Saccharomyces cerevisiae S288C: one gene and its partner. The protein of the gene in region 2 purifies or fractionates together with the protein of the main gene of each other region. This does not show direct contact. Each region holds a gene or a part of one and is shown on either strand. Other genes may lie near its edges.

What was found.
Region 1: the proteins of REC8 (region 2) and SMC3 purify together in Saccharomyces cerevisiae (affinity purification with western blotting; 2 studies listed by BioGRID, with this or other methods). This does not show direct contact.

What each region holds. Positions count from the first base shown.
Region 1 is NC_001142.9:298,657-304,937, forward strand, and holds SMC3 (cohesin subunit SMC3), read right to left. Parts: upstream 4,194-6,281; coding exon 501-4,193; downstream 1-500. Other genes in the region: NET1 (Net1p), read left to right, coding at 1-158; APQ13 (Apq13p), read right to left, coding at 1-220; JEM1 (Jem1p), read left to right, coding at 4,525-6,281. UniProt on the Saccharomyces cerevisiae protein: Involved in chromosome cohesion during cell cycle and in DNA repair. Central component of cohesin complex. The cohesin complex is required for the cohesion of sister chromatids after DNA replication.
Region 2 is NC_001148.4:568,485-573,392, forward strand, and holds REC8 (Rec8p), read right to left. Parts: upstream 2,895-4,908; coding exon 852-2,894; downstream 1-851. Other genes in the region: methylisocitrate lyase ICL2, read right to left, coding at 1-512; HAA1 (Haa1p), read left to right, coding at 4,534-4,908. UniProt on the Saccharomyces cerevisiae protein: Replaces the SCC1 mitosis-specific cohesin to ensure sister chromatid cohesion during meiosis. Is cleaved by ESP1 shortly before the first meiotic division, and dissociates from chromatin, allowing sister chromatids to segregate.

The sequences.
Region 1 (6,281 bases), on a different chromosome or scaffold from region 2:
CAGATTCTAAATCTGAGTCAGATTCTGATGACTCAGGGGATTCATCTGATGATGGAAAAAGTTTTATTAGTGCGAAATCCGCTAGTGCTGCTTTAGGTAAGAAGAAGAAGCCAAGTGGTGGATTTGCATCATTAATAAAAGATTTCAAGAAAAAATGATACCAGAAAGTCTCAGTAGAATACACGTCACAGAAAGCTAGTAAAAAAAAATAATCAAGCATATAAAAGTATTAATATATTAAAAAATCTTCATGTAAACCAATTCTTATTTACCTCTTTTCCCAGCAAGCGGGCAACTTCTTTAAGAAAAGTAATCTTTTTTGTACGTCGAATTATCAAAGCTTGGTTACTATATTTAACATTATTGTTTAGTAACAGTATCATCTTAAAAGAAAATTTTTTAAAATTCCAATATAGGAGACAATGGTAATAATTACATACAAATAGCTATTTATGTAAGCAAAACTGATATTTTTATATACAAATCGTTTCAAATATCTCTTAGACTTCAGCGAATTTATTGCTACCTCTAATGAATCCGATTGCTTCTTCTCTATTGACCTCAATAACCGTGGAAATCTTATTCTCGTACTTAACACGGAAAAATTTGTCTGCAACTTGCAACATATCTGTTCTGAACGTCGTACAAATAAACTGGGCATTTTTTGACAGTTCTTTTAGAAGTGTAGCGACTGCAGTTCTATACTGCTTGTCGAGTGCAGCATCAATTTCATCAAACAGATAGAAGGAAGCAGGGTCAACCATTTGGATTGCCAGAATCAAAGCAATGGCACATACAGTCTTCTGACCACCTGAGAGCTGTTCAACATGCAGTTGTTCGTTTTGTTTAGAATTGAAGGAAACAGAAATTGAAACACCTGTATACATAATTTCACTATCTTTACCGTTTTGGCTTTCATTGGATTCTGCATCCATGTCAACATCAATACTTTCATCATGGTCGTTAGCGTTATCATTCTTACGGTGAATAATCAACTTAGCAGTACCTCTGGGAACTAATCTTTCAAAAACAGCTTCAAAGTTTTCAGAAACCTTTTGGAAAGTAGAATCAACCGCGTTAACCTTTTGTTGTTTTAACTTAACAATTAGATCTTGAATTGAGTCTTTAGATTCATCCAGCTCTGAAGCTCTCTCCGCAAGGTCTTTGCGTCTTTCGTTAAACTTTTTGAAGTTTTCAAAAGCTCTCTTGTTTACATTCTTCAAACCAGAAATCTCTGTGTTCATATCATTCAGTCTTTGTAATAGCTGATCACTTGTGATGTCGCTAAAATCATTTACTAAAGCATCCTCTGGCAGAAGCCCAATTTCCCTAATCCTTTGCTGTAATTCTTCTCTTCTAGTAACCAAAGTTGTTTTCTTAATCATCGTTTTTTCAACACTTTTTTGGAAATTGTCAAGCTTCTTTAATAGTAATCGCTGTTGATTGTTTGCTTTTTCTAGCAGTTTCTTATTATTAGTTTCTTCAGCAATGAGACTTTCAATTTCTCTTTGAACGGTACCTAGTTCCAACACAGCGTTTTCATGCTGCTTTTCAACGCTTTCCTTCTCCAATTGTAATTCTTTCAACTCATCTTGTAGACCAAAAATAAATGCGTCACCTACTTCTGACATCTTGGATTCTAGATCATTTTCTTGTGGGATAAGTTTGGACTCCAATTCGGCATTCAACGAGTCAATGGTTGTAGTTATACCTTCTAGGGCGTCTGATGTAATATTTAGCTTATTGTGCGCTGCACTAATCTCCTTTGTTAAAGATTCTAATCTTTCCTTTTCTTCTTTTGAGAGTTCGCTATCAAACTCCTGAAGCAAATCATTTTCGAATGTATTTAGCTTTTCCTGAGCAAATGTACGATTTGTATTCAGCTTTTCTAGTTTTAGTATAATTGCGTTTAATGATTCTTCGAGAATTAATTTTTCATTCTTTTTGGTGTTTAGCGATGTTCTATATACCTCGATATTTGTTAAGACAGACTCCCTGTCATTAGAAACCTTTCTTATATTCCCGTTTACTTGATCAATCTTAGTATCAATATCATTTAGTTCATTTCTTACGAAATCTAATTCTTCCAGTATTTTTTTGTGTTGACTTCTTGATTCATTTAAGTTTTTCAATGATTCCAAACGTGTTCGTTTGTGCTGGTCAAGATACCCACCTGTAAGTACACCTCTTTTGTCTGCTCTATCACCATCTAAAGTGATGGCATTGAGTTTGTGTTTCTTAGCTAATTTTAAACCTTGACCTAAGTCTTTGACAACAATAGTTTTTCCAAAAACGTGTTTGACAGCCTTCTCAAACCTGGGTTCATATTTTATCTTCTTTATCAAGGGAGTAAACTGGATTTGTGTAGTAGTGTTTGAGGGGAATTTAACATCACTGTCCAAAGATAACCTGTTCAAGGGAATAAACGTCACTCTCCCACCCTTCATACGATATAGTTCGTTCATAATCAAAGTGGCCGTTTCTTCGGTATCCACGACAATGTGGAAGAGGGAGTTACCTCCAATTACTTCAGCACATGTCTTGTACTTATCATTGACTTTAATCAGTTCACCTAATGTCCCAAAGACAGATTCCGGTGATATTTTTAGTTTTTCTGTAATTTCTTTCACATTTATTATACCATTTGCCAATGATCTACTCATGGTTTCATTAACATTTCTTTGATTTTGATTGACGTCACTTAATAAAGTTTCCAAGACTGTCTGTAATTTTTGCTCCTTTCTCCACAATTCCTTACGAGTGTCTAAACTTTCACTCAGCTTCTGTTTGAGGTGTATTAATTCCGAATCAAAATCTTCTAATTGACCCTTGGTATCTGGTCCATTGATAGAATCAATTAGCTCTTCAATCTCTTCATCAATCGCAGAGTACTGCTTCCTTAAAGAAGTACGATCCATTTGCAATTGACTTTCCAGTTCATTTAAGTTTTGTATTGAAGATTTCAGTTCTTCAATTTCTGAATGAATCCACGTATCGCGTTCATCCTTTGATTTAAAACGGGCATATTCTCCTTTCTTTAAGATAAGATCTCTCTGCTTTTGTTGCAAGGAGGCCAATTGAAGTTTGTACATTGCTTCTTCCTTTGTGAGTTCTTGATATCTAGGTAAAATTTTAGACAACTTTTGTTTCCTTTGCTCAATTATAGATTTGATCTCTTTCAAAGTTGCACTATCCAAATTTCTCTGCTCCTCATTTGACTCAATTTGCTGTTGAACATCCTTTATTTTTACGTTGACGTTTGTTAATTTCTGAGAAATCTCAGATTCCCGTAGTTTTGCCTGTTGTAAATCAGTCGCATTTTTGATCTTCAGTGAAGCTTCAATACTTGATAGCTTTTTGGAGACTTGGTCAATCATATCCTCTCTTTTATCCAACTCCTGGATGTATTGTTCGGAAGAGTATACCGTGTTATTATAATCACCGTCCAGTCTTTCCATTTGATTGATAACCTCATTTAATTCTCGATCATACAATGTGAACTGGTAGATCTTTCTGTTGCGTTCCAACTCGTTGTATTTCTCTAATTCCTTACGTTCCTGTTCCATTTCACTCAATTTAGAGTTTAGTTCACCCATTTCCTTGTTAATTTGAATCTTTTTCTGCTCTGTTTCCTCCATTTTTTTCAATGAAGCTTTCAATTTTACTTCAAATGACTTAGCTCCTACAACATCTTCCAATAACTGCAATCTTTCCTTATCCTTGGCATTAGTTAAGGCGACTATTTTACCTTGTGGTACTATATTATACGGATTATTCATTGAAAAACCAGCGGTTTCCAACATTCTGACTATGTCCCCTTTGGTCACGTTTCTGTCATTTAATTGATAGTCATCCTTCTTCAGCCCTACTGTTCTTCTAATGGTCACTTCGTCATCTCCTCTCGAAAGTACACCGGAGGGCAATATCATAGAATGATCTGGATCGTGGAACACAATTTCTACCGAGGCACTCATCACTGAACCACCAGAACCTTGGTGGATAAGCCCTTGCCTTTCTTCCCTCTTAAGATTAGAGTAATCGTCACTAAGAACAAATCTAATCGCAGCGAAGAAATTCGATTTACCTGAACCATTGGAGCCAATAATAACATTCTGATGCGGCGAGAAATTATCAATAATGGTTTCGTTCCTGTAGGTTTTAAAACCCTTAATTATCACCCTTTTGATATACATTGCAGACGTGAACTATTACCGTTACTCCAGCAGGTCGTCTTGTAAAAAAATGGTGAAACTGTTTAAAGATGAGGTTGAAAACTCATCTTTAATTAGTTTAATCATTTCCTAACGCGTCGCGTCTTTTCCTATTCCTGAGACTTTTTTTCTTTAGGTTCCTAATAGTGAAATGTGACAGGTGTACACTTCGATGGCAGGCAAAAATAGAGCCAAAACTGCTTATAAGTTATTCCAAGTGAAAGGAGTTGGTTGCGAGAAGGGCCCAGAAGGTTTCATTCATTGTTGGTTTAGTGTATTACTAAGGCCGATCTTAACGTCTACGAAACGAAGTATGATACTGATCTCGGGATACTGTCTTTTAGTGTATAGCGTTATTTTGCCAGTACTGATATCGGCTTCTAAGTTATGTGATTTGGCTGAGTTACAACGATTGAACAAGAATTTAAAAGTAGACACTGAATCCTTGCCAAAATACCAATGGATCGCTGGGCAGTTGGAACAAAACTGCATGACTGCGGATCCAGCAAGTGAAAATATGTCAGACGTAATTCAACTAGCCAATCAAATATACTACAAAATTGGGCTGATCCAATTATCCAACGATCAACATCTAAGAGCTATTAACACATTTGAAAAAATCGTTTTTAATGAAACTTACAAAGGTTCTTTTGGGAAGCTGGCGGAAAAGAGGCTACAAGAGCTGTATGTCGATTTTGGGATGTGGGACAAGGTGCATCAGAAGGATGATCAGTATGCGAAATATCTGTCCTTGAATGAAACCATCAGAAACAAAATATCATCCAAAGACGTTTCTGTGGAGGAAGATATTTCTGAGCTGCTACGCATAACGCCGTACGATGTTAACGTCCTCTCCACGCACATCGATGTTCTTTTTCACAAACTAGCTGAAGAAATTGACGTTTCGTTAGCTGCTGCTATCATTTTGGATTACGAAACAATCCTCGACAAGCATTTGGCTAGCTTAAGCATAGATACAAGACTTTCGATTCATTATGTCATATCTGTTTTACAGACCTTTGTACTTAACTCAGATGCGTCGTTCAATATAAGAAAATGCCTTTCCATTGATATGGACTATGATAAATGTAAAAAACTAAGCCTGACTATTTCCAAATTGAACAAGGTGAATCCATCAAAAAGACAGATCCTGGATCCAGCAACATATGCATTTGAGAACAAAAAGTTTAGAAGTTGGGATAGAATTATTGAATTTTATTTGAAGGATAAGAAGCCATTTATTACACCAATGAAAATTCTTAACAAAGATACAAACTTTAAAAACAACTACTTCTTTTTAGAGGAAATTATCAAACAATTGATAGAAGACGTTCAACTGTCGAGACCTTTGGCAAAAAATTTATTCGAAGATCCCCCAATAACCGATGGTTTTGTCAAACCAAAATCATACTATCATACCGATTATCTAGTATACATTGATTCCATTCTTTGTCAGGCTTCTAGCATGAGTCCGGACGTCAAGAGAGCTAAACTGGCTGCGCCGTTCTGTAAAAAGAGTTTGAGGCATTCACTAACACTAGAAACATGGAAACACTATCAGGATGCTAAGTCCGAGCAAAAACCTTTACCTGAGACGGTATTGAGTGATGTATGGAATTCCAATCCTCATTTGCTGATGTATATGGTAAACTCAATACTTAATAAAAGTAGGTCTAAACCTCATTCACAGTTCAAAAAGCAATTATATGACCAGATAAACAAATTTTTCCAAGATAACGGCCTCTCAGAGTCGACCAATCCATACGTGATGAAGAACTTCCGATTATTACAGAAACAATTACAAACCTATAAAGAGCATAAACATCGGAATTTCAACCAGCAATATTTCCAACAACAACAACAGCAGCAACAACACCAACGACATCAAGCACCCCCAGCAGCGCCTAACTACGACCCAAAAAAGGACTATTATAAAATTCTTGGAGTATCGCCTAGTGCTAGTTCGAAAGAAATAAGGAAAGCATATTTAAATTTAACCAAAAAATACCACCCAGACAAAATAAAGGCCAACCATAACGACAAACAAGAATCAATTCACGAAACTATGTC
Region 2 (4,908 bases):
GCCTTGAATATTCTCTCCACTTGATTCGGCACAGTATCGTATGGATAATCGCCAAAATCCGGCGATACTTCATTTGTAGATCCAACTAATGTGGAAGAACAAGCCCAACCAGATATGTAAGCAACTTTGATATTTCTGCAACGGGCCAACTGACTCATTTGTACAGGATCGATAACTCCCAACGTGTGAAGTGGAGTACCATTCTTGAAATTCTCTTCTAGTAAGTTGAACAGCTTTCGAGCTTGATAAGATGAAGGATAAATTGAAGTATTAGCAGGAAGGCTGCCCCGATGCTTTACAACATCCGTAGCTGAGTATGGACGACTGATATTCTTAAATCTGGCTGATTCCCACCATTCTTCTACTTTACTTGATTCCGAGAACACGAAGTCTTTAGTACTGCTTGCCCCGTTGAAAGATCTTCGCAGTGACTTGTCTGATGACAAAACCAGCTTCTTCAGTGTTCCCGTAGTTTTTCTATTGAAAGTTTTGTTGTTAATCATTGTAATCATCGGCGAAATACTAGAAAAGTCGAAATCGATATTATTATCGGCGCTGTAGCTTCTTTAGGCCACTAGTACTTTTATAAGCTCTTCAACCGCAACAAAAGTTAAGAAATAAGAGAGTTATTCTTAAGCCCATTTTTTACATTATATAGTGTACGTATGATATCGCTAGCATGATGTTAGTGTTTCGGCGCTTCTAATTGAAGAGCATATCCTTTTCTTCTCCAATGCACTTTTATTTCTTTCCCCGCAAGCATATTCGGCCCGGATCTCGGACTTGGATCATTAACCTGAGGACAGCGGCTAGTAACCGCTGTCGCTCATATGGAAGGAGAAAATAAAAATTCAGGCATATACAATTATTTCGTCCTCTCTTCTCAGTTTAAGATCTTTAGTTACCGCATCTGCAACAGGATATTCGTTCAACTTGACCATCCCTTTCGTAGCCAAATTCAGTAAGGATAGGAAGGCACTGGCGGCTATCTGTCTGCTGACACCTCTTTCTACATCATCAAAGTTAGCTCCCGTTTGAGCTTCGCCCATGCGGCTTGGGATGATGTCAACCAACAGCATCTTTCTCTTGAAAGGCGGATTGGAGCGCGTTGTTCTTCCGACAACAATTGATCTTTCTTTGATGTAATCGTAGAATTTTTTAGTTTGATAATCCAGAATGACGTCTTGAAAATTTGTTTTGTCCTGCTGCAAATTTTGCTGAGAGCCATCAGAAAAACAACTGTTGCTGGAATCGTCTTCCTCGGCAAAATTCTGTTCAGATGGCCCGACTCTCCTTCTGAGAGCACCAACTATATCTTCATTGAAACCACTAGACCTGGTTGAGTTTCTGGTATGACTTCTTCCAAAACTTGAAGGAGGTAGATTCAAATTAAAATCTAGGATGTTACCTTGAGAGTTTTCTTCAATATAGTGCCCATCTTCCAAATCCTCATTAATTTGTTCAAGGTTTAAAAGTAAATTATCATTTTCCATATCGGAAGAATAATTATCGTTCTTATTATTGCGAAAACTTTTCCTACCATATTCGTGACTTCTGGTACTACTTGAGCTTTGGGTTGATACTAAAGAATGTGCTCTTTTTCTCCCTCTTTCAACTGAACTAAAACCTTGGGGATATAAGTCCCATTCGCTAGTCTTTATATTGGAAAAGTCGTTAAATATACTTAACCAATTTGTTGAAAAAAATTCTTCCTCACCACATGACCTTACCAAACTACTTATGTTAGAGGTGAGAAAATTTTGGCCGGTTAGTTTTCTAATCCTGTTTTTTTCCATTAAGTGACTGTAATTTCCATGGTTGAATTTGAGAACTTCATTTGGATAACTCGTTTTGGCATCAAATTGTACCTTAGAAAATTGCCCACCTACATCGGCGCGATGTCCTCTTTGCATTCTGGTGTTAAGTTTCTGTTGAAGATCGTTTTCTTCTTCAGAAGCCTGCGCTTCTAACCCCAATTCGTAGTCTTTGAGATTGGCTACCGGCCCTTCATTTTCAACTGATGTATCTTCTCCTCCATTACTGTTATTTTCATTATCGTTCTCAAAATTCAACACCAATTCATCTCCTTGATAATTAAACTTGAAATCGTTTCCATCCTTCTGTGAACTTGAGTGAGAGCCTAAAGGTGTCCCCTGATGGCTCACTATATCATCTAAGTCCAGGTTAAAGTCCACATCAACGGGAATTTCATCCAGCGGAAAAGAATTTCTAACGTTAGATCCTAGATTACTTTGCGCGTCTGAGTTAGTCATGTCCCCATGAAGCTCGAACCTGTTAGAATTACTTAACTCATTGATGTAGTCTTGTCTCCTTATTGATTTAGCTTCCTCAATAAAAGATACATTATCTTGGAGAGTAGTGTTAAGAAACTCCAGTGCGGGAACTTTAGTAATATCATATAAGGGATCGTCATCGAAAAAAACGCATTCTTCCCAGGTGTAATTATTGTTTTTGTTTCCTATAATACTGTTATTACTATTCAATCCATTAATCCTCGTAGACTTATTTTTGGCCTTAAAAGCGTATACATCATTTTTTTGTAACTGCACAAGCAGGTGATTTAGGTCATTCAACACATACTCGGTTTTTTTATTATAGCAAATTGTCACTCCATATAAAAGATTAGAAATGTATCTAAGAGAAAAATCATTTTCGAAATTTTGAATTTCATCACATGTTTTTGGTATGGAAATATTTACGATGTCTTTTTTCTTAACGGTGGATGAAGATATGTTTCCAGTGGAGTTGCTTTTGTTTGAATAATAATTGTTACTTTCCTTTACAATGGAATTTCCCAACGCAGAAAGCAACCACACTGTTGTGAGGCCCTTATATTTCTTGTCATCTTTAAAGTTCAACGAAAGAGGTGCCATTGCAGAATATTTGTAATATTAATCTATATATAGCAAATGCTTTAGAGTTGCTGAGGCTAAAAAGAAATTATAGAACAACTATAAAATATTAAGTCCGGATACACTGCTTCCTTTATACCATGCCCTTCCCTTTATAGTGTAAAAACGCGTAATCTTAATCAATCTGATATATTGGTTTGCCGCCGAAGTCAAGTTCTCCTGCTAAAACGAGACAAAAAGAACACGTGAAAGAAGAAAGAAAAACGTTACGATAAAATAAGTTTTATACCTACTTTCATATCTACCAAAGGAACACAATGAATTGCCGTATGTTATTCTTGAAGTAAGAGTCAAGTATTATTTATGGACTAGTATTCACGTTACTAGTACATTATCACATGCGGTGTAAGAAGATGATATAAAAATTGAGGGACAGTAATCAAATTCAACGGAAGTCAAAAAGGAAGGATTGGTAATGTATAATATCGAAAAATGTGCGAAATAGTTGATAATTGTTGGAGTTTTATAGTTGTTAAAGGCTATAATATTACGTATTTAGAATATACTAGAATTTCTCTATGAGAAGAACCCACGAAGAGATCGATATTCTCGATATAATGGCATTATTGTTATCCTTTTCATCTTATGTGACTGTCATTCATCATCCTACTAAATTATCAATCCTTGCAATTAGCTTCTATTACACCTGATGACTGTTTTTCAATCTTTATGTGATCTTTTTACACCCAATGTGATAAAGTACTAGTAACATGAATACTACTAAACAGATGATACTTTAGAGTTTTCATTCCAACACTCAATTGTAAAAATAAGACAATATTATGATTTTTTGGCTGTATAACCACATCTATTTAGTAGCAGGGTGACATGTTACTCCCACACAATACTTCGCGCAAGTGGTTTAGTGGTAAAATCCAACGTTGCCATCGTTGGGCCCCCGGTTCGATTCCGGGCTTGCGCAATTTTTCCCCCTCGCCCTGAAGGGCGTAACGTTAACGCTTCCGGTAATTTGCGAATAATTTTTCTTCCCATTTCCCCTTTCTTTTCCCTTTAACATGTGGAGCATAGCAGGCTCTTTACTTTTTTACGCATTCAGACAGTCGGGAGGTCAATTGGTGGTGCCGGTTGTGGGAAAGAGGTAATTTTATTTCCTTTATTGGACATGATTTCAATAGTCACATTGGGGCAGGAAAAAGAAAAGGGAGAAAAAAATTCAGTAAAGAAAAAAAATAAGAAAAAGAGAAAAGAAACAAGAGAGGGCTACAGATTTCTAAATATCCTTTTGCTGCACATTTTTTATTTACCTGCTAATTGGTCTTAGTAATACAGAGTCGTGCATTTCCACTTTATAAGAAAAAAAAAAGGGATAACAGCACCAGCACTTGATTGAAAACTAGAAAGTTCACGTTTTATAAGTCCTTTCCGTTCTCTTTATCAGTTATAATAAAAGAGCCAAGACAAAACGTGGCAGGGAAGCTTTTCCAAGGAAAAGAGGGTTGTAATATTAAACAAAAACCGTAATCAAGCAAAATAAGACCCCGTGGTTTTTTATCATAGGAAAAGAGTTCTCTGTTGTCACTCTACCATATTTGACAAGAAAAAGGAAACAAAAGTATAGAAAAAAAAAACCTAAAAAATAATGGTCTTGATAAATGGCATAAAGTATGCCTGTGAGAGGTGCATAAGAGGCCATAGAGTAACAACATGCAATCATACAGATCAACCGCTTATGATGATCAAACCCAAAGGTAGACCTTCCACTACATGCGACTATTGTAAACAACTTCGAAAAAACAAGAATGCAAATCCTGAAGGTGTTTGCACGTGTGGCCGGCTAGAGAAGAAAAAACTGGCACAGAAAGCCAAAGAAGAAGCAAGAGCTAAAGCCAAAGAAAAACAAAGAAAACAGTGTACCTGCGGGACTGATGAGGTTTGCAAATATCATGCTCAAAAGAGACATCTAAGAAAGTCCCCTTCAAGTTCTCAAAAGAAAGGAAGATCCATTTCTCGTTCT